Saccharomyces cerevisiae S288C: one gene and its partners. The protein of the gene in region 1 interacts with the protein of each later gene in a biochemical or structural test. Each region holds a gene or a part of one and is shown on either strand. Other genes may lie near its edges.

The links.
Region 2: the proteins of RSP5 (region 1) and RVS167 form a complex in vitro, tested with the Saccharomyces cerevisiae proteins (4 studies listed by BioGRID, with this or other methods).
Region 3: of the proteins of RSP5 (region 1) and SNA3, one has a biochemical effect on the other in vitro, tested with the Saccharomyces cerevisiae proteins (11 studies listed by BioGRID, with this or other methods).
Region 4: the proteins of RSP5 (region 1) and ROD1 form a complex in vitro, tested with the Saccharomyces cerevisiae proteins (4 studies listed by BioGRID, with this or other methods).

What each region holds. Positions count from the first base shown.
Region 1 is NC_001137.3:406,023-414,551, forward strand, and holds RSP5 (NEDD4 family E3 ubiquitin-protein ligase), read left to right. Parts: upstream 1-4,166; coding exon 4,167-6,596; downstream 6,597-8,529. Other genes in the region: casein kinase YCK3, read left to right, coding at 1-365; DSE1 (Dse1p), read right to left, coding at 1,320-3,041; rRNA-processing protein NSA2, read right to left, coding at 7,372-8,157; small subunit rRNA maturation protein LCP5, read left to right, coding at 8,459-8,529. UniProt on the Saccharomyces cerevisiae protein: E3 ubiquitin-protein ligase which accepts ubiquitin from an E2 ubiquitin-conjugating enzyme in the form of a thioester and then directly transfers the ubiquitin to targeted substrates.
Region 2 is NC_001136.10:1,246,322-1,253,753, reverse strand, and holds RVS167 (amphiphysin), read right to left. Parts: upstream 3,569-7,432; coding exon 2,120-3,568; downstream 1-2,119. Other genes in the region: GTPase-activating protein SAC7, read right to left, coding at 1-1,217; CIN10 (Cin10p), read left to right, coding at 3,933-5,600; MUS81 (Mus81p), read right to left, coding at 5,772-7,432. UniProt on the Saccharomyces cerevisiae protein: Component of a cytoskeletal structure that is required for the formation of endocytic vesicles at the plasma membrane level.
Region 3 is NC_001142.9:134,583-140,919, forward strand, and holds SNA3 (Sna3p), read right to left. Parts: upstream 2,192-6,337; coding exon 1,790-2,191; downstream 1-1,789. Other genes in the region: inositol-3-phosphate synthase INO1, read right to left, coding at 1-1,351; SCF ubiquitin ligase complex subunit DAS1, read left to right, coding at 2,797-4,788; DNA-directed RNA polymerase I subunit RPA34, read left to right, coding at 5,855-6,337.
Region 4 is NC_001147.6:360,601-369,326, reverse strand, and holds ROD1 (Rod1p), read right to left. Parts: upstream 4,959-8,726; coding exon 2,445-4,958; downstream 1-2,444. Other genes in the region: YOR019W (uncharacterized protein), read right to left, coding at 1-1,200; PET127 (Pet127p), read right to left, coding at 5,513-7,915; ERP4 (Erp4p), read left to right, coding at 8,243-8,726. UniProt on the Saccharomyces cerevisiae protein: Mediates resistance to o-dinitrobenzene, calcium and zinc.

The DNA of each region.
Region 1 (8,529 bases):
CGAACCCGCAGAGCTTTACTAAACAACAACACGTCTTGAAAAAAATCGAACCCAATAGTAAATATATTCCTGAAACACATTCAAATCTTCAACGGCCAATTAAAAGTCAAAGTCAAACGTACGACTCCATCAGTCATACACAAAATTCACCATTTGTACCATATTCAAGTTCTAAAGCTAACCCTAAAAGAAGTAATAATGAGCACAACTTACCAAACCACTACACAAACCTTGCAAATAAGAATATCAATTATCAAAGTCAACGAAATTACGAACAAGAAAATGATGCTTATTCTGATGACGAGAATGATACATTTTGTTCTAAAATATACAAATATTGTTGTTGCTGTTTTTGTTGCTGTTGATAAAGCGATTTTTATACTTTTCTCTTTTTCCTTTTTTTTTTTGATTGGCTGTTTCCTTATGCCGCTCTTTCCCAATTTATGACTTTCCAATAATGTATTATTTTGTTTCTCTTTCTCTCTGTTACCCTTTATTTTATCATCTACAATAATTGAATTCCGGAGAGGGTAAAGAAACAGGAAAAAGAAGAAAATGAGACATAGTCAGCATCGTAATCGTTTTCCTTCTGTATATTCCTTTATCAAAAGACTACACGCACATATATATTAATCCCGGTATGTTTTTGGTGTGCTAAATCTATCTTCAAGCACTATTATAGCATTTTTTTAAGAATATCCAAAATAATATGTAATTTATGATTAATCAAGGTTCAAGAATTGGAGAAACCGTGAGCGACTTCTTTGATACTTGGATGTAAGCTTTTATTTAGTTGCTTTTTCGTTTTCTTTTATTTACGCCCTTGTTTTGCGTGTATACTTTACTTTTCTAATTCACTTGAGAGCGGGACTATATATAAAAAAATGCACAATTACAAACTTGAGAATGAATGCATATCGTGAAGATTTTGATATTAAATTAAGAAGCCAAAAAAACGTAGGCAACCATAACAAATTTCGGCATTGAACTTGATTCTAAATGCTACATACAATTACGCGCGCTGTTTTGATATACACACACATATATATATATATACATTGTGTAAGAAAAATTCAAAGCTTAGTAAAACATACAGATCATGGAGAAAAAAAAAAAACCGAATACTTGTGTTACCAGAAGGATCCACTGACTGGACTTGGGTCACAATTTGAATTTTATTGATTTTCACCTTCATCAAGGAGGATGGTCGTTAGTAATAAAGGGCATTCTGAGTGACAGACAAAGAAATTATCTTCAAAGAAATGTTACTTTGATTCATTGATATGTTATTTGTTTTTATTTGAAAGCACTCAAGGAAACTAGACAACAGTAGTATCAATAGTAGATCCACTTAAATGCACATCATTTACAGAATACATCCTCTTTGTGAAGACGATATCCTCTTGGTCATCATTCAATCTACCTTCGCTAACAGTATTTGCTGAAGAACAATCCCAATTACCAGAATTTGAGAACATATCATCAGATGTTTCTGTCATACTATGGTCACTCTCATTGGATAATGATAACATAGAAGAATCAGATATTCCACTCTTCCCAGTACCATTACCATCGATTATTTTACCGGTATCGACATTGAATTGAACTTGACAAATTTGATGTAATCCCAGTTCACAAAAATTGTCAAGAGTTACTAAACTTCCATCGTTTGCCATATCAAGGAATAAAAATCCACATCCTTTTCCATTGGCCTTAGTGTCATTGCTCTTCAAGCAAATATTTTTATCACTCATACCACTCACAATAATGTTTCCACATTGGAAGACTTGCTTGGTTAATAGTAGTTCACTTTCACTATCTAGGCTAATTGAGTTAAATCCATGGACTAACTCACCATATTTCATGTTTTGTAGGTTTTGTAAATCCCAACAAATGACAAAGCCTTGGTCATCACTGCTATATAACGCGCCTGTGTTTTCGTTAAATTTTAGACTTTCAATGTATCCTTTCTTAGCATATAATTCACAAACTGGTTTACCGTCGCAGGATTGAATGTCCCAAATTTGAATTTTATCGTTCAAGCTCTGTGCAACGTGATGATTACTTATCCATACGCAATCCAAACTTGTGTTCTTTCTTTGCAAATGGTCTTTTCCACATCCTGCAGATATGCTATTATCTAAAATATCTGGAATATAGAGATTTGTTCTCAAATCAAGCAGCGAGATGCCATTTGGTCCAAATTTTGAGCCAACTAAGGCCAGTAAGAAGGGATCATGGAATTCATTAACGGCAAAAGAATTTATACCTGGATATGATTGCAAAAAAATAGGTGTTTTTATGCAATCAAGATTTGATTTCAAGTCATATATAAAGAGGGAGTCATTTAGAAGGGAAACAAAACCGGTCTTGTTCCATGGCGAAACCTTCAAAATAGGTGCTGTTTTTGGCGTTATTTCCAGAATCGGAATCGACGTTGATACGGTAGATTTTAGAAACTTGTTGTGGTTAAACCTTTTTATTATTTTAGCACATCCCTTATATGTTGAAGTTGCTATCAGATTGACTATACCGTCTTGATGACCTGTCAATATTAATTGGTTGTGGTTAGGATTTATTTGAGAGCTGGGGAAAATCTGTGGCGGAAAATCTACCATGGGCAATAAGCAGATACAAGTAATGGGTTTACCGGGAACAGTAATCGTCTGTAGTTCCTTCAGCTTTTTCTCAGCGGAAATTTCAAAAAGTTTCAAGTTGTCTTTCTCGTTCATTGTAGATACTAGAAGTATATTATCCACAATGGACATGTCTGAAGGTATGGATAACTCACTTTCATCAACACCGTACAGTTTCCAATAATCTGATTTTAATTTTTTAGTTGTATAATAGTCATTGAAGTTGTCTGATGCTTTTCGCAAAATCGGTGAATTCATTTTCGAAGTATTGTTTTGCCACGTTTTTTTGTATGTGGATAAAGTCATCATCGATTGTAAAATCCTCTTTTTATCTGATCTCTTCTTTATATTAATAGCAGGCTGACGAAAAATATTTGTTGGTTCGTAGTATTTGGTATCTTGCATAATATTAATACGTGTCACTCTCACTATCACACCTACAATCAAATTTTTTAGCAAACACAGATTAAAATTTGGAAGTCATGCAAGAAGAAGAAGCCAAAAGATAGTTTGAGGAAAGCTTGGGAGAGATATTTCTACCTTTTTATATATTGTAAAACGTTTACGCACTTATTTATGTAAACCAGTAAGCACCCACCCAGCTATGTCGTCATGACTACAAATTGGTTATGAACCAAGCCTTATTCAGTAAACCAGCAAATTTAACATCATGCCGGCATTGAATCATACATAGAAATCAACACAATAGCTTTGAGAACTGAGAATGTAGCTTTGACGCTGCTATTATTATTTGGTATTGTTTACCTTTTAATGTTTATTTGTTTAGAAAACAGACTGCTGGTTTGTTTACATTTGAGAGCAGAAAAAAAAAATTGCTGGCGCAGACCAGCCGCACAGTCACGTGACAGTATACGATCATGTGATCTTACGTACATAATGACATTATACGAGAAAGGGGAAAAAACAAAAATTTAGTGGAAATTTTTGGTAAAGACCAAATTGCAGTGATCTTCATGGTGAAAGGTAATATTTTTTGCTGGCGGGGGAGGGGGCTTCTATCTCGACAATTAAAAGACATACGCTTAACCATTTTTAGGGTACTCGAGTATCGCATCTGCTAATTGATAAAAGGACTTTGTTGTGTTTTGAGGCTGTTTTCCATTTTCTTCGTTAGAGCTACAAGAGTCGACTTTTTCGTTAAACAAAAACGATTATAAGATAATAAGCGCTGTCAGTTTTTTCCACAGTTTTGGACTTGTTACTATAATTCGTGAAGCACATTTTGCAAGTGAGTCAAAATTTCAGTTCAGTCCTTCTTTAGAAGAGTGAGTGCGTAGCAAATAAAACAGCAGGAAATAATTGCTTGTTTTTGTGTGTAAGTACCTTTTAGTTGGAACTACCGAATATAGTGTTATTCGACTTTCACTTTCATAAGCCACAGCTTTTTCTTAGTGCGTTTTTAGTTCGATAAATTTACCAAAAACTATTTTCCCCTTTTCTTATTCCCTTTTCTTTGTTAGCTTGGGTATTATATTTAAAGTAACAGAAAGGAAAGAAAAAAGAAAAAAAATGCCTTCATCCATATCCGTCAAGTTAGTGGCTGCAGAGTCATTATATAAGAGGGACGTATTCCGTTCCCCGGATCCGTTTGCTGTTCTGACTATTGATGGTTACCAAACCAAATCTACATCCGCAGCGAAGAAAACGTTAAATCCCTACTGGAATGAGACTTTCAAATTCGACGATATCAATGAAAATTCTATTTTAACCATCCAAGTCTTTGATCAAAAGAAATTTAAAAAGAAGGATCAAGGGTTTCTTGGCGTGGTTAACGTCCGCGTGGGTGATGTTTTGGGCCATTTGGATGAAGATACTGCTACATCGAGTGGTAGACCTCGCGAAGAAACTATTACTCGTGATTTAAAAAAATCTAATGACGGAATGGCCGTCAGCGGTAGGTTGATTGTTGTTTTATCAAAACTACCTTCGTCAAGTCCGCATTCACAAGCTCCTTCTGGCCATACTGCATCTTCTAGTACGAATACAAGTTCAACTACTCGAACAAATGGTCATTCTACTTCCTCCACCCGTAATCATTCAACGTCTCATCCTTCCAGAGGCACCGCGCAAGCAGTAGAATCAACTCTTCAAAGCGGTACAACAGCTGCTACTAATACGGCAACAACCAGTCACCGTTCCACCAATTCCACATCCAGTGCTACCAGACAATACTCTTCGTTTGAAGACCAGTATGGTCGTTTACCCCCTGGTTGGGAGAGAAGGACCGATAACTTTGGTCGTACATATTACGTCGATCATAACACAAGGACTACCACTTGGAAACGTCCAACGCTCGATCAAACAGAAGCCGAACGTGGCAACCAATTAAATGCAAATACTGAGTTAGAGAGAAGGCAGCATAGGGGAAGAACTTTACCTGGTGGATCATCAGATAATTCCTCTGTAACAGTTCAAGTGGGAGGTGGTTCCAATATACCTCCTGTTAATGGTGCAGCAGCAGCAGCGTTTGCAGCTACAGGTGGTACCACATCTGGTTTAGGCGAATTACCTTCAGGCTGGGAGCAGCGATTTACTCCAGAAGGAAGAGCTTATTTCGTTGACCATAATACTAGAACAACCACTTGGGTGGATCCAAGGAGACAACAGTATATACGTACTTATGGCCCTACAAATACCACCATTCAGCAACAACCGGTCTCCCAATTAGGTCCTTTGCCTTCTGGATGGGAAATGAGATTGACCAATACGGCACGTGTATATTTCGTTGACCACAATACAAAAACAACGACCTGGGATGACCCAAGACTTCCATCATCGCTAGACCAAAATGTTCCACAATACAAGCGTGACTTCAGACGTAAGGTTATTTATTTCAGGTCCCAGCCCGCTCTTAGAATATTGCCGGGACAATGTCATATTAAAGTACGTAGAAAGAACATTTTTGAGGATGCTTATCAAGAAATTATGAGACAAACCCCAGAAGATTTAAAGAAAAGATTAATGATCAAGTTTGATGGTGAGGAAGGTTTAGATTACGGTGGTGTTTCCAGAGAATTTTTCTTTTTATTATCACATGAGATGTTTAATCCATTTTATTGTTTGTTTGAATATTCTGCGTATGACAACTATACCATTCAAATAAATCCTAACAGTGGCATCAACCCCGAACATTTGAACTATTTCAAATTCATTGGTAGAGTTGTGGGTCTTGGTGTTTTCCATAGAAGATTTTTGGATGCATTCTTTGTAGGTGCACTTTACAAAATGATGCTACGTAAAAAAGTCGTATTGCAAGATATGGAAGGTGTTGACGCAGAGGTGTATAACTCATTAAACTGGATGCTTGAGAATAGTATAGATGGTGTCTTGGATCTGACGTTCAGTGCCGACGATGAAAGATTCGGTGAAGTTGTAACAGTGGATTTGAAGCCAGATGGGAGAAATATTGAAGTTACTGATGGTAATAAGAAAGAATATGTCGAATTATATACCCAATGGAGAATTGTTGATAGAGTTCAAGAACAATTTAAGGCATTCATGGATGGTTTTAACGAATTAATCCCCGAAGACTTAGTAACTGTGTTTGATGAGCGTGAACTAGAACTATTGATCGGTGGTATTGCGGAAATTGACATTGAAGATTGGAAGAAACACACTGATTATCGTGGTTACCAAGAGTCAGACGAGGTCATTCAATGGTTTTGGAAGTGTGTCAGTGAATGGGATAATGAACAAAGAGCCCGTTTATTGCAGTTCACCACTGGTACTTCTCGTATACCTGTCAACGGGTTTAAAGATTTGCAAGGCTCTGATGGTCCAAGAAGATTCACTATTGAAAAAGCTGGTGAAGTACAACAATTGCCAAAATCTCACACATGTTTTAACAGAGTTGATTTGCCACAATACGTTGATTATGACAGCATGAAACAGAAGCTAACATTGGCCGTGGAAGAAACCATAGGGTTTGGTCAAGAATGATTATTCCGCACCAATTTTTTTTTTATTTATGGTGTCCGTTTTCCCAACATTCTTTCTGCCTCAATCATCTTGTTTTATATTTCAGCTAACAATAGTAAAGAGAAAACTCTTTTTTGTTAATTTTATCTGAGTTGCTCATGAAATGATTAATCATTGTTGTTTTTACAGCAACATGGAAAGCAGCAAAGAAAATGCAGGAAAACGTGAAGTGCTTTTTTTGATGATTACGCAAAGTTCTTTTCAAGTTCGCCATAAGAGGAGGTTTTCCTTTTCAAAAGGAGCATGATACCAATAATTTATATTGCCTTACGCCTCTTATTTTTTATATCCTCTTTTTAGATTTTATTAATTTTTTTTTTTATTTATATACATATAATGTGCCCTGCTTTTTACAACCATACGTTTTTTGTTTTTTAATTTTCTTGCATTTTAAAACTGAATAGTGACCTGGGTATTATACTACAGTTGAAATTGCTCTCGTGAGGTACATACTTGAAACGAGCGTACTAGGCAATCCCTCTCTTGCCAGTCACCTACACACGGAGAGTATCGGTTATTTGTCGTGAGGAAAAAAGAACCGGATAATAAATTCTTGATTTGTTATATTGTACAGAGAATGACGAGAAGTAAAAAGAGAAACCCGAACAGGACAGAGCGTACATTTTTTATATACCTGTTCTTTTGTGCTTGTAGACGTATATCGTATTATTAAATTAAAAGTAAACCTAATTTGAACCATCGAGATAAAAAAAAAAAAAACGGAGCACTTTTTTGCTCATACAAGCAAAACCGCATTGACACAGCCGTCTCTGTCTGGTTCGTTTGTGACCTGAGCATACTTACCCCAGACAACTTTACCACCAGCAGTAACCATCCCCAATTCCGAAACGTTAACTTCAATAATGGTACCTTTAGTCAAAACACCTAACTGAGTGTACATTGGAGATTGTGGATTCTTCTTAACTGCCAAAATTGGCAAGAAGACAGTTACACCTAATTCCGGATGAGTGACGTTTGCCTTTTTCTGTCTCAACGCACTTGGTCTGATGATTCTTTCCATTTTAACTGGTCTTCTAGTGAAACCTTCACCCACAAAAGTGTGTTTCGTTATCATTCTCTTCCATGACTTGGATCTAGATTTACCTGTTTTAATAACTTTGAACATTTCTTCTTCACTTATACCACGAACCTTTGGTAACGGAACTGAAAACTTATCAGCTTTTTCCAACCTCTTTTGTTTGATCGATGAAGAAATAGCTTTGGCTGTGTTATTTTGTTCTCTGTCCAATAGATATGTCGGCAAAGCATCACCATCGGTATCCAATGGTTTGGATGAACCCTTGACCTTAGATTGTTCATGTGCCTTAATCTTCTTTCTCATTGATACCTTTTCAGCATATCTCTTCTTAGCAAATTGCTTACCCTTCCAACCAGTCAACTTCTGGGCCCGTTCAGAAATCTTATGAGACTCTCTTGCCTCTCTCTTACGTTTCCTTTCTTCGTGATCTAATCTTTTACCATGCTGTTTGATGTGACGCTCGATATAATCGTTTTGAGGCATTGTTTCGTTGTATATATCAGTATTGATACGAGACTGACTACTGACTAAAGATAAAAACGCCAGATACGAAAACCAAGTTCTTCTCTAACTGATACCTAATCCATTCAATTGTCTTAAAAGTGCATCTCATCGCTGTCCGGAAAATTTTTCATCGGATTGTTACTAGAACCGTTGCCGACGACATAAAATTTTTTACGCCTTTCCTGCAAGGTTGAAGAAAAGAAACCGATGAGCTATACCATTCTAAAGTGTCAAAAGAGATGAAGAAATTAAAATTGTCAACTAACACACAAATCCAAGAATGTCTGAACTTAATGCATTATTAAAAGATATCAACGGCTCGCTCACTGCGACATCAGAATCCTTGGAGAG
Region 2 (7,432 bases), on another chromosome or scaffold:
TCCTGTTGTTCCCTTTTAGCCAACTTCAAAAGATGGGGTAATAGCTTGTACGAGTATTCAATCAAAAATTCCACTACTAGTCGGGATAACTCGTATTCTTTGGGGTCCATATCATGTTGAGGATGCGATAATATTGAAGGTTGGAAGATGGCCGCCAAGTTTCTACCAGACATTAGGTTAAACTGTGATTGCCTTGCAAAAAGACTCAGTAAATCGAGTAGGTATATAGTTAGCTGTTTCGTGTCATTTGATAAGGTAACAAAGAGCTCTTCATATTCCTTGATAGCTGCCCTTATATCGCGGGTCAGCCTTCTCTTATGACGTATTTTTCTTCGTCTTTTTTCTTCATCATCTTTAGCGTCCTCCTTTTCGATGTCACCATCATTAGCACCATCATCATTATAGTTCTGTCTACTTGATTTTACTGTTACATTATTTGTTTTATTCGCATTCGGATGAGAAACTTCGTGGGTCAACATATGCCTTAGGATTCTTGGTCTAGATCGTAGCGGGTTTCTGAATTGTTCATATAGGGATAAAGGTATTAGTGGTTCGGCCAAATTATTAAGGTATCTCCTCAGGAGCGATGCAACATCGTGCACTGTATATGTTTCCCAATCGTTGAATTTGGTACCATAATCAGGTGGCGACGAGAATATGTATTGAAGGGCTTTTACTCTTTTACCATTGCCCGCTATACGAAATATACCCGAGGTCTCCAATCCATTTGCTTTTAAGTATGCGCCGCACTTGGCTACCACGATGGGTATCCGACCAAAACTCACCAACTCACTTTGAACAATGACCTCTGCACTGGCGACGCTCAACGATTCTGCTAAAGTAACACCGAAAACCCTACCTGTGAAACCATTTCTATTAGATAAAAACATATCTCTGTAATTTTTGAACTCTGCGTGAGGCGATGTTCCGGAATTAGCGTTGTTATTGTTATTGTTCTGTTTCGCGGATTTGGAAAAGGATTTCCTATCTTTGGTTGGGGTATTATATGAATATGGTCTTGAAGATAATGGAGGCCGTTTTAAAGTAGTTGGTTGAGCATTCCTTGAAAGAGAAGTTGGTGATCTAGGGACTGTAATATTTTCGGATGACATACTCTTAGGGTTGTTTATGAACTGCTTCCAAAAACTTGGGACATGACCTTTAGAGGGAGAAACATTTTCAATTTTGGAGCCTTGTTTAAGAGTATTATTTGGCATTATAAAGATATTTTTAGTTTATCTTAGTGGTATTGAGAGGATGAAAGTAAGACCAAAGCAGGAATCAAATTGGAAGCTCGAAAGCAAACTTGTGAAGGCTAATTTCTCTGCCCCTCTACTTTAGAAAAAAATTGCTGTGAAATGAGAACGGCTTTTTGAACACTGCAATATAACTTTCTGGAGAAAATTTGTTCTGATAACTTTGTGATGCGTGAAAGCTTAAGAGATCAAAAATATGTGGAGTTTTCAAGTCACTAGTGAATAAAACCAGTGGAATGGGTAAAAAAATTTTTTGTAACGGGCCTGCTATTCTAGGAAACCTAACGAAGACTTTATCAATTTGTTTTTCCTCTTCTGAGATCGTCCGATCAAGCCTAACAGTTTCGCGAGTAAAAAGGATGATTTCTTCTAAATTTAGTATTAAAGTAATGAATGCGTACACCCTGCTTGAAGATGTTGTGCAATGTAGCTCAGTTTCTTCCGCGCCAGGCCACTAGTCTTGCTTTTTTCCTGTTTGTCAGCACCGGTTTCCCAACTGGGCTGTGTCATCGACAAGACAGAGATGGTGTTTTATAAAAGAGAAAGGAGACTGAGGAACGTCGTTTTAGGAAGACTAGGCGAGGTGAGCGAGAAAACTGATTTCCCCATATGGTAGGCTTTGTACCATATTGGGAAGGTGGCAGCCCTATTGGGAACGCGCTCCTTCCCTTTTGGGATATTGTCAGTAGGGTAATATGCTCGCCGCATGCCCGTAATAGATAGACTCAAACGATACTTTGTTGGTGGAAGGATGAATTACCCTATATAGTATTTAAATTAAGAAACATTACAATAAAAGAAAAAGGTAATGGTAACATCTCACAATAGAAGGTAATGAATACAGAGGGATGCAGGGGCCTCCTCTAGTTCTTGTTGAGTTGCACGTAGTTCCCAGGAAACACACCTTGCTGGCCATTGTATCTTCCTGTCCACCATTCGTTCACGTCCGGAGTACGCTGGACAATTTCTATAACTGCGCCGGCAGGGAAAGACAAATCACCAGCAGCTTGAGCTTGGTAGTCATACAATGCGGTAACAGTTTCAACGCCAGGAGCTGCCGCTACGGCCGCGGCTGGTGTGCCCGCAACAGGTGATGTTAGAGGATTAGAGTAGGCCGGTGGTGGTCCCTGTTGCTGCTGTGGTGATTGTTGGAAGCCTAGCCCAGTGAGCGGTGGAGATTGCGCAGCAGCATACTGTGGATAAGTACCCGGAACAGCGCCAGCAGCAGCACCAGCAGCAGTACCAACAGCAGCAGCAGTACCAACGGCGGCAGCAGTACCATACTGGGCAGCAGGTTGAGCGGCGTAACTTGGTGCTGCGGCACCATAACCGTATCCTGTAGGGGTTGGAGAAGTGGCAGTTGCTGGATCATACCCAGCACCATATCCGACACCGCTTGATGCGCCACTGACGGGTGAGCCTTCGGCGGTTGCTACACCATACTTCCTTCTGGTCATCTCCAATTTTGCCTTAGAGTAACCGAGTTTAAAGTGTGTAATAGTCAAGGCGTCCGTTTGTTCTTCCACATTGCCTTTCTTGGCAATGTACGACTCTACAATGTCACTGTTCAAATCAAAATATGGAATCTTCATGTCTTGAAGTCTATTATACAAAGTGTAAAAAATGTTCAATTGCATGAAATAAAATGAGACAAATAATGGTTTCACAAATTCAGCTTCCAAACTGAACAGTATTGGTAATTGAGTCTTTAGCAAGTCGTTATAGTAATCATATTCTTGTTGAGCCACTTCCACTTGAGCTTGTGCTTTATACAATCTTTCTTCGTCTTTGGCGGTTGGTTCCTTCTTCTTTTCATGCTTGTTATAAGTGTTTAGATGTCTATCTAAATCTAATTTTTTGTGATTTCTCTTGGTGGCCATTTTACGAATATAAGTAATAATCTTCAACAGTTCCTGGCATGGCGTAACAATTTTTTCTTCCACCAAAGCCAGATCCGGTTTCAATGTTTCCTGTAATTCTGCGACAATTGCCCTATACTGTTCACTTGCTTCAATACCTTGTGGGTTGTCCTCTGGTATGGTAGCGTTAGGGTCACTCATTTTACCACTGATAGGTTTGAAAATTTCCTCCATGGATTTGGCAAATCCAATTTGGTGTGTCAGCATTCCATTCACCGCAGTCGAGTATCTCTTCGATTCCTCACTTAATTTTTTTGTCTCCTGCTCCAATTCTTGAAAACGACGTTCTGCATCCTCGTAAACAGGATCCTCTGTCTGCTCACCCATCTTGAACTTTTGACGGAAGGACTGAGGAGCCCTACTAACAGCCTTGGTAAACCCTTTAAAACTCATGTGCACTTATTGGCTCCTTGATTCTTGGTGTTAAATGACCAGGTGAGCCTCACTTTACTTTATTCCTTAAAACAGGTTGTTAAACATCGACACTACAAAGCCCTCTCCTTTTTTTTTTCCGGTACCAATATTATCGCAACATCCGAACATCGGTCGGATTGATAATTTAGTCAGGTAGACTACCATAGCAACTGGAAGGTATACATAACAAAATTTCCATACGAAAGGAACTTCTTGAACTATATACAACCTTATATGTGCAACTGTAGCGTGCACTTATAGTCCATGGTCAAAAAGTATCTTTTCTCAGTAGAAAACAAAAGCGTACAGGCAAGCGACAGGAAAGTCAAAACTTGATAGAGGTATGTCTACAGATGAAAGTGAAGACGTTTATTCTGATCTGTATTCCATTATCTCCCAGGTAACATCCAATACTGCCAATGACATCGAGCAACTCCCATATGCTTTAACGTTCAAAACGTCGTTAATCTTCGTTGGTGCTACCATTGGTGGGCTTTTATTCGGCTATGATACTGGTGTTATATCAGGTGTTCTGCTTTCTTTAAAGCCCGAAGATCTATCTTTGGTAGTTTTAACGGATGTTCAGAAGGAGCTGATAACTTCCAGTACAAGCGTCGGATCATTTTTTGGCTCTATTCTGGCATTTCCTTTAGCAGATAGGTATGGAAGAAGAATTACTCTCGCAATCTGCTGTTCAATTTTTATCCTAGCTGCAATTGGAATGGCTATAGCAAGAACATTGACGTTTTTGATTTGTGGGAGATTGCTGGTTGGGATCGCTGTTGGAGTGTCTGCCCAGTGCGTCCCTCTATTTCTGAGTGAAATTTCACCTTCCAGAATCAGGGGTTTTATGTTGACATTGAACATTATTGCCATCACTGGAGGTCAATTGGTTTCCTATGTGATTGCGTCCCTTATGAAAGAGATTGATAATTCATGGAGATATTTGTTCGCACTTTCTGCTATTCCAGCTATTCTGTTCCTTTCAATACTGGATTTTATCCCTGAATCGCCACGATGGTCCATTTCCAAGGGAGACATTCTATATACCAGGGATTCTCTAAGAATGCTATATCCTACTGCATCTACATATCATGTGAATAGTAAAATTAAGCAGCTGATAATTGAACTCGATAAGTTACGACTATACGAAGATGCAAGTGAACCTTTACTAGTACAGTCCCAATCGGTTATTCGATACATGGATAGTTCAACCTCAGGAACTCTTAGCCCACCTAACATTAAAAGACTTTCCTCGAACACAGAAAGAACTAGCAACACAATGTCCTCCTCATCAGCATATCTATCGGCGTTGCGAGGCCCAGCTCCAAACGGTGCCCTGGCATCTAACAAAAAGAAAAGACACAGAATGGAGCCACGCACAATAAGAGCGTTAATAGTAGGTTGCATGTTAATGTTTTTCCAGCAAATCACTGGCTTTAATGCTTTTATGTACTATGCGGCAATAATATTTTCCAAATTTAATATAAAAAACCCTCTACTGCCTCCAATTTTGATTGCCTCAACGAACTTCATATTCACTTTTTTCGCCATGTACACCATGGACTCTTTGGGAAGAAGAGCCATTCTTTTGAGAACAATTTTGATTATGACTGTTGGGTTACTTCTTTGCAGTGTAGGTTTCGGTCATGACCAAGTCAATTTACTTTTAATTTCTGTTGTAATTTATGTTGCAGCATATGCTTCTGCGATGGGCAGCGTTCCATGGACCTGTGTGGAATTTCTCCCCTTGAACAGGAGATCATTTGGGGCATCATGTATAGCCTGCACAAATTGGTTGACCAATGCATTTGTTTCAATGACATATCTGAGCACTATTAACACCATTGGTGATGAAAATACAATGCTCATTTTTGCTTTTTTCACAGTTTGTGCCTGGTTTTTCGTATATTTTTGGTATCCAGAAGTCAAAGGTTTGTCACTGGAAGAGGTTGGAAGGGTTTTTGATAATGGAATTGATGTTCATTATGTCTTTCGTACCTACCATTGATGAGTTGTCAAGTGGCATCATAATGCATTGGGGCGGCTTTCAGATATGCTTCTGGTATATTTGTCCGTGAGAAATTAAGGCTTCTTTTCTTATATATGTATATATTAGTTAAAAGAATATCATCACTTTTTTCTTTATAAAACCTTGCAGGGATGACTATATTTCAAATTGCTAAAGTTTACCAAAAGCATCATATATCTTTTCTGAAAGAGATTTAGTAATTTTCTTCGCACCAGGTGCATCTCCCAGTACATTAAACATCAACAATTTAGCCTCTTCTTCCGAGGAGCACGTTTTATATGCCATTAGTATTTTATTCAGGGTAGGAAATATTTCTTGGATGGCTACTGCTTTTTCTAAAGATATACCTTTAACAAGCATTAAAACATGTATAGTTAGCTCACCAACCGTCTTTAGATCGCCTTTTCCCATTAGTTCTTGAAAGCATTCAAGATTATGACAGCATTCAATACCGCCTTTTCGTTCGAATTCTCGACGAAACTGTAGAAGCACCTTTTTATAATCGTCCTTGCTTTTAAGGTCACTTGGAAATATAACTATGAGATCTTTTTGAGAATAGTGATGAGAAATTACAGTATGCAACGCATGTATCTTTTCCACAGTTTCATCCGAATTGCAAGTTCTTATCATGGAGAATTTGTAATACACTAAAATGACCCAAAGCGCGGTCTTTAGGGCCTCATTCATATTTCCAATGTTGCCACTCATAGTCTCCTCAATGAGATAGTATTTGTGTTCACAGCCAGATTTCTCTAACCTATTTTTTTGCTCCATAAACCTGTTATCCCTTATACTTAAAGCTAAATCGTCTAGCCTTTTTCTTTCAACTATGGTGTTGAGCACACACTGCAACCCGGTATTTTTATTCTTGGCAACCCATATAATATCACCCAAAGCGAGTTGCCTTATCTCTGACTTCATACCTTTTCTTTCAAATGCCCTTGAAAAAAACTCACGATCAGATTGTGACTTTATTTCTCTGTGATCAATAATTGGGAAAACTTCGAAATCACCACTACACCACAATTCGTAACTTACTCCGTTGTACCTTCTCCTCTTTATTGTGCTTTTAGCCTTTAATGCGGAATCAGGTACTGTTTGATCATCAGAGACCTCTTCCAATTTATGAGAAGATATATTAGTTTGGCTATTCAGTCTATCATTTTTAAATACATTGTTCTGCAGCCTTTGCGGCGTGCTCAAATCTTGAAAAGTTATATCCAGCATGAATGAAGTGTTATTTATATCGCAGGGCTCTTCTTCCTTACCATATTCACCACGGAGGTCAGTCAGATTTGCTGTGAATTCACTACTTTCATTCCTGGTTACGGAATACTCGTTAGGTTCTTCATTTTCTTTTGGAAAAGAGATTCCGTCTGCCGTCTTTAAGCTCTTTGTTAGTTCTACACCTTCCTCTGTTAGCGAATACCGTTTTGGTCTACCTTCCTCAAGAACCAACGAATGTTTTTTAAGTGCAGCAATAGACGACCAAGCACCGTAGAATTCTTTTGTGGAGAAATTTGGAGTCATACAATGGTCACTGTATTTTCCTGCAACCTCGATGATTTGCTCTTTACTAACGCCTCGAGGAATGGCATTAAGCTCGAGTAAGGAAAGAAGGATAGCGTAGCCTCCAGATCTTTTTTTGGGTATATACTTCCTAGTTTTTCTCTTTTTAGTTCCCTTCTCTTCGGGAGCTTCATTCTTATCATTTTCGCATGAGTTTACTATGCTACGCAAAGCTGTAGTAGTCCTCTTTGGTGGTCTGGTGCTACTTGTCTGAGTTAAGGAAGGAGCCTCAACGGGAGATA
Region 3 (6,337 bases), on another chromosome or scaffold:
CTAAAAGATCGATGATCAAGGGCGTAGCCAGTAAAGAATCTTCGCAAACATTGTGAATGGAAATCCGGTTATGGCCACCTAACATCAACTCACTGTAATACTCGTCCATTGCCACTTTTGAGTCCCCGACGGGCTTCATATATTTGATGACAATGCAGTGGTCAACTTTTTTACCCAGTTTATCATTGTACAAGATATCATTAGACGCGATGATGTCATCTATGACAGAACTTTTGGAAATCTCCTTAGACCTAAATTGTTTTGGAGCAGATAAGTTATAACCGTCATTATTGCCTAAATGGTTATAGGATGCAATGGAGACCGGTTTAATACCTGCATCCACTAAGAACTGGGCCAGAACAGACTTCAACTTGGTTTGTCCCGACTTGAGATCGTCTCCCGCAATGAATGTACCCTCATGCTCAGCCAGCTGAACCAAGCCGGGAACAAAAGTATTCTGCGGTGAACCATTAATATAGGGGACACCTTCCAAGATAGATGCTGCTGCAAAGATCGTGGAAGGAGCAATCTCTTCATGGTCATTCTTAATAGACTGCAAGAGGTTTTCCATGGTGTCATTAACACCAGGAGATACTTCTACGTACCTCTCAGTATTTGCAGTCCAAAGAACGATTACTTTATCAAGGGCGTTTTCTTCTTTGAAATTCTGGATATCGCGTCTGATGCGTTGCAGATGGGTCCACTTACCCCTCGTGGTTACGTTGCCTTTTTCATCCAAATTGATGCAGTTATTGGCTCTCTCATCTTGATTAGCTGCAATGAAATCAGGGTAGTAAATGGAAGGAAGAGGCTTCACCAAGGACATCTTCGCCTTCAAGCGTTGTTGCAGATCATATTCGAGAACTTGACTTCTCTGCATAGCTTCGTATAGATCTGCGTTATTGATGTCCCAACCAGAGACGACAAAGTCGTTTGGGCTAACCATGGGCAACAGAGAGTTAAAAGGAGCATAAACGTCATTCCCCTCCGCATCGATACCCAGTTTCAAGGTAGAACATTGAGTCATGGAGCCGAAGTAGTTTGGTTGCTTAACGCCTTCCTTAGTTTGAAACTCCACATTGTGCTTATTCGCCAATACCGAGGCCACTAAAGTGGAGCCATTGTTGCCACCTAACCCAATGAGCATAATTCCTAGTTTTTCCGGCTTTTTCAAGTCAAGTTTGAACACGTAGTCTTGAACAGTGGGCGTTACATCGAAGCGGCCACTAGCTGTCTTCGTAACTACAGCATTTTCGTAGCTGTACTTGGTGAGCAGCTCGTTGTCCTTGTACGTGCACTTGTCGGTAACTACTTTAACGGAGGTGATTGGAGCAATATTATCTTCTGTCATTGTTACTTCTTTTTCACTGGAAAAAAAAGGGAATGAAACAGAATAAATCAAGGATAAAACTAACATTAGGAACCCGACAACAGAACAAGCCAAAAAAAGGTGACGAAAGCTCCAATTTATATACGTCTCAAATTAACATTGCCGCCAACGCAGAGGTGCGCTTTCTCTGCTCCATGTGAATTAAATAAGTTCAATATTCTGGGAAAGAAGGATGAAGATAAAATAGACAATACTTTTCACATGCCGCATTTAGCCGCCGAAGCGCATACTTGGCCTCCGCATATTTCACATTCAACACTTTCGATTCCGCATCCAACCCCGGAACACCGGCACGTATTTCATAAAAAGGACGTGAAGAACAAAAGGAACGAAGAAAAAGGCAATAATTTACTCTATGTGTTATTTAGAACTACGGTGATAAAGAGCTCGTTCCGATCACTAAGTACGGCCGGAAGAGAGCTGTTGTTTGTTGTCCATCAAGGGCACATCGGCACCGGCCTCATCGTCTTCATCATATGCTGGAGGCTGTGCTTGAGATTCCTCTGCAGGGTGAGCTTCCAGGTCACGGTCTACGGCGGGCGCAGTCGCATGTCTGCGTGAAAGATCGTACGAACGTTCACTACTCGTTTCATATACAACGTAGCAAGCGTGAATGATTGCTGGGAAGAATAACAGTAGGAAGAGAAGTAAGTTCAATAGTGTATCCCTGTTGAACATACCCTTACGCTTCCAGACGGCCACTGGGGGAATGAAAACCGCCAAAACCATTAACAACAAGTCGTCCTTGTTGATGGAATAGCTCATTCGATGGTCATGGTCATTAATATGGTCTCTGTCCATTTCTAAATTATATTTGGTTGTTTGCTTTCTGCTGGGTTTTTATTTTTTAACCTAGCCCCTTTCCTGCAGCTGGCTCATTCGTGCTGTACTCTCTTTCCTTTATATACTAGTGAGACCTTTTCCCCCGTTCCCAAAAAGAAAAAAAAAAAAAAAAAAAGAAAACGAGCCTTCATCACGTGCATTAAAGAAATAGTAATCCCAACGCACTCATCCGCTATATACATAGCGAAAAACTATATGCCCACTTCACAAATACGAGTTTGCATGTATAATATATAAGATTTATAAATGTTGTAGGGTGAATGTAAACGTTCAGTAATATACCGGTATATCTATCAAGATACGATCAATGCAACGCTTTACTGCACTGCACTACACCCCTTTTCCTCTACTTGTTTTTCTTAGTTCCTATTTCCCTCTCAAAATGCACCTGTTCACCAGAGTATTCTTTCTCATTGCAAGTATTACCCTACTTTATCGTCCCACACAAAGAGGAATATATATAGATTATAAGCGAATTGTAGATTTCGATGGAGATCTGATTTCCGTGCAAAATATCCAGGACGTCTATACACAGTGTTTACAACTCAGCTTATATTCATATCATGCCATTTCAAGATTATTTTCAGAAGAAAAAAGCAGCGTTCATTAACAGAAACAATAAAAGTAACGCAGATGCTTCAGCGCTACGAGATATTAACGATATTAACATAAATTTCGCCGCCAAGAGCAAAAACTACGTGTTCCCGCTAACAAAGCTCCCCGATGAGCTCATGCAAGAAGTATTCTCTCATTTGCCGCAACCAGACCGCTTGCAGCTTTGCCTTGTGAACAAAAGGTTGAATAAGATCGCTACCAAACTGCTTTATAGAAGAATATATTTGAACGACTCAAATGTAGTGAAGAGTGACTTCATGCATCTCGCAATTAATTGGACCCTACTGAACTTGCCGTCTTCGTTGAAAGAAGAGGAGTCCCGCGATATCGCCAACTGCAAATTGAAAAAACTTATAGAAACACTGCAAAATAATATTCACATTACTGAAGTCATCCAGTGGATAAGGATCAACTGGGATTTGGACTCTACCTTGCAAAGGTCCATTCTCAGCATCCTTTGCAATCAGGGCAAGTCCTTGCAAAGACTAGAAAACGTCACTGACCCGGCTTGTAACGATATCATCTCCAATGGTCACTTTTCCAGGAGCAACGTCTCAAGTTTCGACATGGCTCCTCCAAATTCATTGCCTGAGATGGTTGTTCCCGAAAATTACATTCCGAATCTCACCAAATATCTTTCACAGCGTATCTCTTCTCGGCTTTCTCATATGACTTTATTCATCGACCCTTTAAAACTGTTCAATTATCTTTACCCTTTAGATATCAAGTTACAAATCATCGATTTAAAATTGCATTGGAGGAGGGAGTTTTACAATAATGATTATTTTGTTAAAAAGATACGACCCGGCAATCCTCTGACTAAACTATCGGAGGTTTTTGACAAGAGGACATTGAAAATTCTTACCATCATTTCTTGGAATGACACTTTGTTAAAACGCGAGACAGAAATGCTGAAAGATTTTAAAGAATTTGAGAACCTGGAAGATTTGTCTTTGATTTCTATTAAGCAGGATGTTCATATCCTCGTAGATCTTTTTAGTTCGTTAACCAATTTGAAAAGACTAAAAATGGATTTCTTAGAGGAGTATGTACCTGAACCCACAAATCCTCACATATTTCTCTCCATTCTTTTAGCTTGCTCCAAATTGCAATTCATAGATCTGAGATACGACGGTCTTATCCCACAAATCATCAATATTCAAGAAAATAAGTTCCAACTAAATCAGCAATGCAACTGCACAAACTGTCAAATAGTATTCAGTGACATTCTGAAGGGCAAAATATTCATGTTCCCTGAAGACTACTATATTCACGATCTTCAAGACATTGCTGCAAAGGATATTTTTAAAATGATGAAATACCTATCTTTGTTACCATACTCTAAAGCTTGTGATGCTTATCCGAGCGTTAGAACACAACCAATGAATTTGACTAATTTTGTGACCAAGATGAACCGCAACCTTTTGGAATATAGAAATTCTAAATCCCAGTTGGTGCCCAAAATCGTTAATAACCCACATCAACACTCCACCGTGACTTCCACATCAACCGCTCATATGAGCGAGCCCGAAATGATAATAATCGATGACGATGATGATGATGATGAAATTAATGCGGCCATTCCTCCAAGTAGTGATGACACAGCAGCTACAATTTCCACTGACCTGGAACTTCCTCATGAATCATTGACCAAAAGAGATATTATTATGTGTTATCACGCTCTTATCCATCACTTCAAGTCGATTTACGTTACTTTTTTGAAAAGTTTTCCTCATTTGAGATTCTTGATGTTGAATGACATTCCCACAATAGTTATGGAGGAGAATAATGAACGTATTTTTGAACCCGTCTTTTATCATTATGATTATAAGAGTAATCTGTATGGATGGTCAAAGGAATCGAACAAGAATCTGGAGAACGACAGCAACAACAACAATAATAATTCTGATACCATTGCAAGAATAGCCACTGTTATGTAATCAACTCCCCTTCAAATATATATATTTAATAATATATATTCAACGCATTTTTTAAGCTAGCAGGATTCAGATTACTGGTCTACTTCATATTAAGGAAATACAAGATCCATTCGGATGCTAGAAAAAAATCAACCAACTATTCCAATGTTGGTAAGCTGGTTTGATAAAGTAAACACAAGATACTACAGTATACGATCACTCAGACATCCTAGGAAGGTCTCTAAAGAAGAGCGGTCACCGAGAGTACTAACGATGGGTTCGTAAGCGTACTCCTACCGTGGAAACTGCGAATGTTAAGGAACCAGTCTTTCATCACCGTGATCATAAATTATATATATTATCTGTCTCCTCAAATTACCCACATTTGATAATCTCATGAGAAAAAATAAAGGCTCAGATCTGCATGTGTTGTATAACACTGGCAAGAAAAGTTCCCGTTTGCAAACACAAATGATTAAAAAAAAATGTCACAGAAGCAACATCTTTTCAAAATCATTCGCATTAAGAGAACGAGATAAAATCCCTTGTCGTCATGGTCGAATCGGACGAGGAAAGAAGAGACACCATTATCATCAGGGCCAATCAATTCTTCTTTTCTGTTTAAAAAAGTGTCATGAAATTTCTCTTGAGATTATTCAAACTTGAATGTATCAAATGGGAAGGAGTGCAATGCTGAAGTCGAAAGAGGAGGATTACTCTCATTCTTACTACATTACAGTCACTGCTGTTTGTTCTTATGTAGGGGAATTCTTATTAACCGAATGTCGAGATTATTATAACCTTACAGAAGGTTGTCCAGTATTTATACATTTTGTTTCTGCCCATAAAGCTCTAGAAAATGAAAAAAAATTTTCTTTTCAGCCTGAGAAAGTTTTTTCTTAGGGCAGCGTGTGGTTATTGGGTGTTGCGAAACTTTTTTTCTCAAACATGAAATTAAAGAAATGAAAAATTTTATCGATGAGCATTGAATAGCTCAAGTTATAGGGTATTCGGTATCATATAGGTCTGTGATCGAGTGAGCAGTGAGCAGCTAGGATTCAATAAACGGGATTAACAAAAAATTGATATGTCCAAGCTTTCGAAAGATTACGTATCAGATTCAGACTCTGATGATGAAGTGATATCAAACGAGTTCAGCATACCAGATGGTTTCAAGAAATGTAAACATTTAAAGAATTTCCCTCTCAACGGTGATAACAAAAAAAAAGCGAAACAGCAACAGGTTTGGCTGATCAAATTCCCATCAAATGTGGACATCTCCAAGTTAAAATCTCTGCCTGTAGATTTTGAATCCTCTACAACCATGACAATTGATAAACACGATTATAAAATCATGGACGATACAGATATTGAGTCCTCGTTAACACAGGATAACCTCAGTAATATGACTTTATTGGTTCCTTCGGAAAGTAAGGAAAGTCTTAAAATTGCTAGCACTGCCAAGGATAATGCACCATTACAGTTTGACAAGGTATTTTCTGTCAGCGAAACCGCTAAAATCCCAGCTATTGATTACAGTAAGGTAAGAGTTCCACGTAAAGATGTTCCA
Region 4 (8,726 bases), on another chromosome or scaffold:
TAGATTCAGTTCGAACGAATACATTCGTTTCGAGGGAACAACAAATGTGGGAATCGGATAACTAACAGGAAAGACATCTGTCAGCTTTTTGGATTTATATGTAATAAGATTCTCATTTCGCTCGTGCTTTAAAGTAGCAAGAACTAAGAAATCTGGAGTATGGACATTAATGACATCTACCAGACTTTTTTTAATTTTGCCTACAATTATTTCTAAAGTAATTTTGACGGATATTTTGACCACTTTTACTAGCTGTAAAATATAATCAAAAATGTCGTTTAATTTTTGATCTATTACTTCTTTTTGATATCCCGGTGCCCATTCTGTATCATCTTTTGCAGTTTTTTTCCTGTTAGAAATCATTTTTGGCAGTGTAGTTATGACAACAATGTGATCAAGATTTCGTGCAAACTTGTAGACTGTCCAGTCTAGGGCAACCCACGTATGTTTTTTTCCGTTAATGTGACAAACTATTGTCTTAGGGTTATTGGGATATCCGACCTTTTGTTGAAGTATTTTATGCTTTCTTTTTTGTTCTTTTGTACATGGTGCACTATCATCTCCTCTATATAACGGTTTAATACGCTCTTCAGAGAAGATAAGTTCTGGGTAAGTAAACCATTTTTTTTTGTCATTCAGCCTTTCATTTATTTGTAGTTTTCTTTGGCGCCATAACTTTATCCAGTTCTTTTCAAACCTGTTTATCATCAACGTTTCGTTGACAATTACTGGCGTGCTTGGATAGTCTCTCCTCACTATTTTTCCATTCTTGGATACCAAGAAATATTTTTTGATGTCAGAATTCTTTTCCAACAACTTTGAGGATCTCATTGGAAAACTACTGGATTCAGATTTGTTCTCTTTTCTAGTATTCAGAAAAGGTGATGATTGGAATGTATCTCTCAAATAATATTGCAAATTTGGCGAAAAAGAGTCTGTTTCATCGTCATAGCACTCTTCCATCGTGTAATAGTTGGGAACAGGTACACCTTTGAATCCTTCCCTGCTGTCGTCTATAGAAGAATAACCAGCGGTGGAAGGCACTGTGTCAAAGGCAACAGATGGTTGGAAACTGCCTTTCTTTTTGGCCCGTTTTTTAAGGTTTTGTTCATTTCTCTCTTCGAATTGTTGTCCTGGAACATCGAATGTGAGGCTTCTGTAGCATTTTTGCAAGTCATTTTGTGGGCAAACAGAAATCATAATAATTTAAGGTTGACTTGCCAAAAGGGTGCGTGATCTATAGCAAGTTGAATATTAAAAGCCTTTTTAATGAGGAGTCCTTATTTTAATACGTGTTGGATTCGATGTCCTTTCTTTCTGGTCCTATGCATTAGTGTGGATGGTAACGAGACATGAACCCAGAAGGATATATATGTATCTATCTGCAAATCATATTGCTACTAATAATGGTAGATTGCCATTCACAAAAAAGCCGCCCCTCATAAAACTCAGCCGCGCAAGCTTTGAAAAGGGGCGAGCGGCTGAAACAGAACGGTCTTCTAGAAGGCTGATTCAGCAGTAATTAAGACAAAAGCAGTACTACCAGCAAGAACATAGGAGGTGATTGAGTTATTAATTGAGGTACATCTGAATTGCAAGAACTCTAAATATTTTCTTTTGCGATGAAAAACTGATGCTTGTGTGATTAACATATAACGTAATTCATTGAGAGAAAAGAGCAGCTGTGCTCGAGATCAATGAGTTGACTATAAAAATAGCAATTTCCGTAGGATCGCAAAGTTGGCTAACCGTATAAAATGGGAGGATATATACGAATGATGTCTGTGGGATCTTTAACATTTAATTAGAAAATTTTGTAGTGCCAATAATTGTTGAGGAAGAAGTGCCAAGTAAAGAAAAACAGATCTTCTGAAGCTCATTGTATTCTCATTATATTCTCTCAAAAATACGTTCGTATAACTGATTAATCCTGTTTTTCTAATCACTATTTTAATGTTTCAATTGAGGGATTTTGCCTTCATACAATTGTTGAGAGAAATTTTCCAACAAGTATGGGAAATATGAGCAATTCTTATCTTTTAAAAACAAGAACTGGTCCGATATTATTCACCTCAAACATATTGGACGAGATCATTTTTAAAACGTTAGGGGTGGGGAGGATATCAATAAGTTTTCATAATTATGTTAACCTTCAAGCCATAAAACCGAGTAAGACCACTTAACAAAATCTATGAGAAGCCTTGCGGCAGAATCTGACAACTTCAGTGAAATTTTTTTGTGATTATAGAAGCATAAACTACAACGCCGAATTGTTTTACTTTATAGCAATTATGAGGTAGTATTATAACATTATATTATCATTTTTCAAGTGGTATGAGGTATGAAAGTACTCTATCAAAGTATATATGCTTAACTGTACAAACGTGTATGAAGTATTGCTCATATCTTTTTGTCGAAATTTCGAAGACAAAAAATAAAGCAGTCTATGAGCGATCCCGTTTTGTGAACATCTCCATTAAATTAGCAAATGAACCTGTTCCTTGTCTTAATGGTGAGTTGCTATTGTTGCTCCGAACTGACGATGAGCGTGACCTTCGATTGTGGGTTGCGCTCGTATAGTTTTCCTCTTCTCTTGGCTTATTAGCGTCAGATGTAGAATCAGTTTTATCAAAATGTGAATTGTTCTTGGAACTTGAATTACTAGTGAAAGATGTTGTCATATTAAACGGAAAATGTCTGCTTCCTGTGCTGCTTTTTGCTGAAGTGAAAGAGAGATTTAGATTAAATGAACTATCTGTGTTGTTTCTCGCCAACTGCTGCAATGATACTGAGGATCCGCTATTATTCCTTGGTAATGGAGAGTGGGATAAATGTGTCCTACTAGACGATCTTTTCAGATTATTGGAACTCTTGCTCGAGCCTGGAAGTGGCAACAAAGAGGATGTAGACTTGTGATGAAGAATTTGTGGCCTTTCTAGTTCAATTTTTTTATTTTCTTGAACTCCAAGTTCTTCCTCGGGATAAGCCGGTGGAAGATCCTCACCAATCATATCAGATTTCATTGCTTTATCATACGAGGGAACTCTGCTTAAATCTGTCAGTTCCAAATCGTTCTTCAGCGATGTAGAAGATGTTTGGCGACTATATGAGTTACGCCTAGATAAATGTGCAAAGCTTGGTGTCAGTGAAGGACTATTCAATCCAGCATTAATGATGTTATTATATCTATTTGCAGAAGGAGAGTTATTGTTCCAATTTTCACTAATTGTTAGATTACTATTAACCAGATTCAGGTTACTATTGTTAACGCTGTCCCCTCGAGAGTCACAATTATTTAGGCTATCATCTTCAATCTTGATTTGAGGATTTGGTGCCAAAATAGGATTATTGCTATTGTTACTATCCGATATATATAGGTTTTGAATATTGTGAATTGCCTGTGATTCGACGGCACTTGAAGAAGCTGATGCTGAAGTTTCGTCTTCATTAGTTACCTCGCCATACACTCGATCGTAAACGTGATTGCCGTAGTTGGGAGGTACCATCAAACTAGTTACCATAGTTGTGTCAGCGACTGCGGTAGCCTCTGCATCAGTACTATTGATATTTAAAGTAGAGCCAGATACTATGGTTGGCATTGAAGACAATTGTAACGCAGAAGCAGATCTTTGAAAAATCACATCTTCTTCACTATCGTCTACAAAGTTTTTGCTGCTGAATGAATTATCGTGCTGACTTGTTACTTGATATGAGGGTCCAAACGTTTTGAGCGTTCTTTCAATAACATCGGAGGTCTTTACATTGACTGGAACAAACGGTGAAATGAATAATTGGACAGGCAGTGCCGCACGCAATTCTGAAATATGACCGTCCGGATTGAGTAAACTTATAGTGAACTTGATCTTATGACGGACTTTGATATTAGATAAAATGCGACAGTCTTGGGAGCATTTAGTCAGGCTTGCAGGTATGTTTAATAAAGCTCGAACTTCCCATTTATCTTGAAATTCCCCTGTGTCCGTATCAACCCCTTCGTCGGCAGCTTCATTTAGGCTCCTCTTCTTCTTTATTTGGGCAACGTGCTTCAGGGGATCTTTTAGTTTTAATTTAGCCACCATTCTTTCTTGGTTGATAACCCCTCCATAGCTACCACAATACTGGGAATTTTCCACCAAACTGATCCTAACAGGGCCTAACTTCAATCCTTTTAATATAGGAACAATTAAAATATTGATCATGGTGGAAGAGCCAATGGCAATTGCCTTAGTTGGAATGGAGATCGTATAATCGACTTTTTCAGGCCATGAGTTATCCACTGATACTGTTTCAGATAACTCGACTGCATCTATAGCTAACGTTCGAATAACTCTTAGATGTTTTTTACAGATCAAGTCGGGCTGCTTAGGTCTCTCGATAGTAGCTTCCAGAGCATAAGTGACGGCAGCATTTGGTAGGCCTTCTACACTTTCCACTAATGACCCAGGAATAATCGCGCTGAAAGGGAATTCGTAGTTACCTTTTACTAAGGTGTGATAGTTTTTGCTTGCGCTTGTCTGCCCATTACTTGATATCAATGATGCAGTAGAAAGGGCTCTTTTTCTCTTTGGCAATGCTGCTAAATTTGTTGAGGATTTACTAGAAATTGTTATTTTACCATTATTATGATTATCGTACAAGTTTTGGAAATAACTTTTTATATTAAAATCATCCCAAAAATGAGAATATATGTTTCTCTCAAACTTTGAGTATCGCTTATGCGGCCCATGAACAGTTTGTAAAACCGTTGGAATATTTAGTCTCAACCTACCAAAAAGTCTCAAAGCCAAAGACTTGATTTGAATTGGCTCAGTAATTGACAATACTATAGTTCCAGATAGTAGGACAGAAGATGCCTCATCAGGGGGGCCTTTTATCAGTAAAACATCATTGTCCAAATTTCTAAGTCTGATGTCAAATAGTAATGGCTCTTTTGAAGGTCGAGATGATGATGAAAACATTATTACTTATGGAGGAAGAGAAGCGAATGGTGTGATGAAATCGCGTTGATTTCTGTATGGTTGTTAATTAGTTTTAGATCTGCATCTTTTTGACGTCTATATTTGAATAGGGGACCCCTGTTCTGTTTTTTTCGCTTAATAAAAAAACGCTGAAAATTGCAAGAGCCCAGCCATACAAAATAATTTATAAAAACTGTGAACAGGAAGCTTCTCAGTTTTTATCGGAGAACCCATCTCTGGGGTTAGACATTCATCCGCATTAAAACTCCTATTTTTACTCGTAGTTTTCGGTCTTCAAAATAAAGCAGATTCCTTAAAGTTAGATGCTTTTATTCAACTTAATCAGTAATGTAACATAATATGTACCAAGGGACTCGACTCTTTTTGACCCATTGTTTAATTAATATGTGTTATAATTACAAGAATAATGCATTGTATGGACATATCTAAAAATACATAGAATAATTACATAAGGTCGAAAGTTGTGAGTGAATACATTAAAGTAGTAAAACTTCACCTATAACATTAGATTGCCCAACGCTGACTACTGTCTTCTAGATATGGAACTTGTTACTCCTTTCTAATAGTTTTCTTCGAAGGGCACCTTTTTTAGCATATGCGCGCAGTTTAGTTTGCAGTCGGGTAGGGCCAAAATTAGAATATCTTTTGTTACTTCCATTATCGCGGTGATCATTGCGGGCTTGTAGTGATTTGATTCGATTCATAATTTCATCCTTTTTAGACATATCAGGTTCCTGACGTGTGATTACTTGATTTTTCAATGCGTTTAATTTAACATCCAAATATTTAAAGTATAGTTTTCGTAAAATTTGTTTGTCATTGATATCTGTAAAAGTAGAGTTCACCTCCCAAGTGGAAACATCGGAAGCGTGGAAAAAGTTTGGAGTCTGTGTAGATGGTATATCTTTGTACCAGTCTCGTTTCATCATGTCAGAAATATATTTACGGGATTCGGTGTCGAGAATATCGTTCTTTTTTAAAGCAAAATCAGGTAGATGTGTAGTATTAGGATGATGGTGATAGAAATGCTTGACATTTACTTTAAATCCAACTAAGGAATTCAGGTGTTCCTCCAAAAGATTTTCGTTATATGAGCGGAGGTTTAGTAGCTCCTCTGTTAATTGTTCGTTCGAAGTATCCTTTACCAATAAAGATTTATCCTCGTACTCAGGTGACAACGGCAGGGCTACAATATTTAGCACCGGTTCGTTAAAGAAGCGGCCACTTTTGGATCGTTTTTCTTCAACTTCGGTTTTAAGCATTATTTTGCATTTTTCCCATTTCGTATTACTTGAGTTAAGTAACTGCTCAACGTGTTTCAAAATATTACTGAACAGATTCATAGACATCTTAAATTCCCTATTAGCCACCAAGCAAGCAATTTTCCTATCGTCCCTGTCATAGTGTAGAATGTAGTCCTCCTCACCATATATCCCTTTTGTGATATCATTCTTCTCCTTTAACAAACTGTCGAATTTGCTGTTATACGAAGAATGGATTATATAATCTAATTCGTCCAAAGGTAGATATTGGAATCCAAACATCTTAGAAATATTGTGGTATGCAACGAAAATACCGTCCATTTTGCCAATTCTAGCTTGCAAAGAATACTTTAGAAGGGCAGACCTGATTAGTTCAAAATATTCTCTTTCCAAAGACTCAAATTCCCCATAAACTTTATCTATCTCATATCCAGTTTGGTTGTTATTACTCTCTACATGTGATAAATCGTATCTTATGGCAGAAACTGCTCTTGTCTTCAGATCAAATACACCCGTTCCAGGTAGATTTGGGTCGTACGCGTCCAATTGAGATCTCACAATGAATTCATCTATACTAGAATAGTGATAATTTTCACTTTTTGAACTATTCTTCAGGGACTTTTCCGTTAAAAAGTCTTCAAGATAATGACCTAGTACAGAAAGCACAATCTCCCTATCCAGACTTCTATCTGAATCAATAGAACAAATGCCATTTCTCTTCTTTCTCAGAATGACTGCTGACGGAAAATATGCACTTTCTGAATAATTGCAGTTTTTTTGAGGAAAATTTTTCGATATCGAGGAATCAATGATATTCAATCTTCTGAAATTGGATAATAAATAGTGCAACTGAGAAAGTACTGATGTCATGGAACTTGATGAAGATATGTACTTTTTTCTATGTTCTTTGGCAACCTTTAACAGAGATTCATCTTTGTGGGGTGTGATGAATATTGGCTTGCTTTGTCCTTCTCCAGAGGAGTCTGTGTTCACATCTTTTTCACTTTTCTTTTCCAAATACTCTGGATTAATATTTTCCACTGCAGGGTCAAAATTATACATTCTGCTCCTATTATCTCTCAATTTTTGTAGCGACAACGGTTGGTATAACACTCTCGTTAATCCATGACCAATCCTAGGAGGCTTTTGGTTGTGTTTTTGAACACCATCTTGATTGTAACGTACTAATGCGTGCCTAATCTTCTGGACATTTATCCGAAAAGTGTATGAATTGCTATCTGAATATGTTCTGCTAGCGGGATATGTTCTCCTAGCGGGATATGTTCTCCTACCAGGATATGTTCTTCTACCAGGATACGTTCCTACCTTTGTCCGCTCCAAATACTTATCATGTCTATACTCCTTCTTTATATTTGTTTTCAGTAGATTAATCGCCTTGTCCATTTCTTCCGTATATTTTTGTCGACCTCCCTTTTCCTTGTTTCCAATGTCCTCTACAGTCGAATTTGTGTCATATATTTCATCGACCATCTCTAAAGCACTATGCAGGTCAGAACGTAGCTTGTCTGGTGTTTCTCTTCCACTAGGGGCATTTGTGAGAGCAGCGCCAAAGTGATAAATCGATCGCTGTTGATAGCTTTTAGCGGCGCTACCTATTCTGCAAGGCTCAACAGATAGACGTCTGGACAGGAATCTACAGTTGTAGAACCCCATTATCAAAACTATAAAAGTATCAGGTAGCGTTTGGCTCTTTTTTGTGCTCTCTCAAGTGCCCTGTTTATATTATATTTTTACATATTTGTTTCTTTATTAACCAACGGCATTGACGGAAACGCGCTTTATTATGGACTACTTTTTTTTCACTGTTTCCTGTTTTTTGACGTGATATACTCAAAGATGAGCGATTGACGATCTGAGAATTCTATTTGGGAACTCTTCTCTGCTTTGAAGACATTTATTTCCCAGCTGCCTTTGAAGTAGTTTCACGAGCGCTAGTGAAGTTTTTTCATAAATATATATTCCCAATCATCGCTAGGAATTATGCGCGTTTTTACTTTGATTGCGATTTTGTTTAGTTCATCTTTGTTAACACATGCATTCTCCTCTAATTATGCTCCTGTAGGCATATCATTACCTGCTTTTACCAAAGAATGTCTTTACTATGATTTATCCTCTGATAAAGATGTCCTTGTGGTCAGTTACCAAGTTTTGACAGGTGGGAATTTCGAGATAGACTTCGATATTACCGCCCCTGATGGCTCTGTTATCGTCACTGAAAGACAAAAGAAGCATTCTGATTTTCTACTGAAGTCGTTTGGTATAGGTAAGTACACTTTCTGTTTGAGTAATAACTACGGCACTTCCCCAAAGAAAGTTGAAATCACCCTCGAAAAGGAAAAGGAAATTGTTTCTTCCCATGAAAGCAAAGAGGACATAATCGCAAACAACGCCATCGAGGAAATTGATAGGAACCTGAATAAGATCACCAAAACAATGGATTATTTAAGGGCTAGAGAATGGAGAA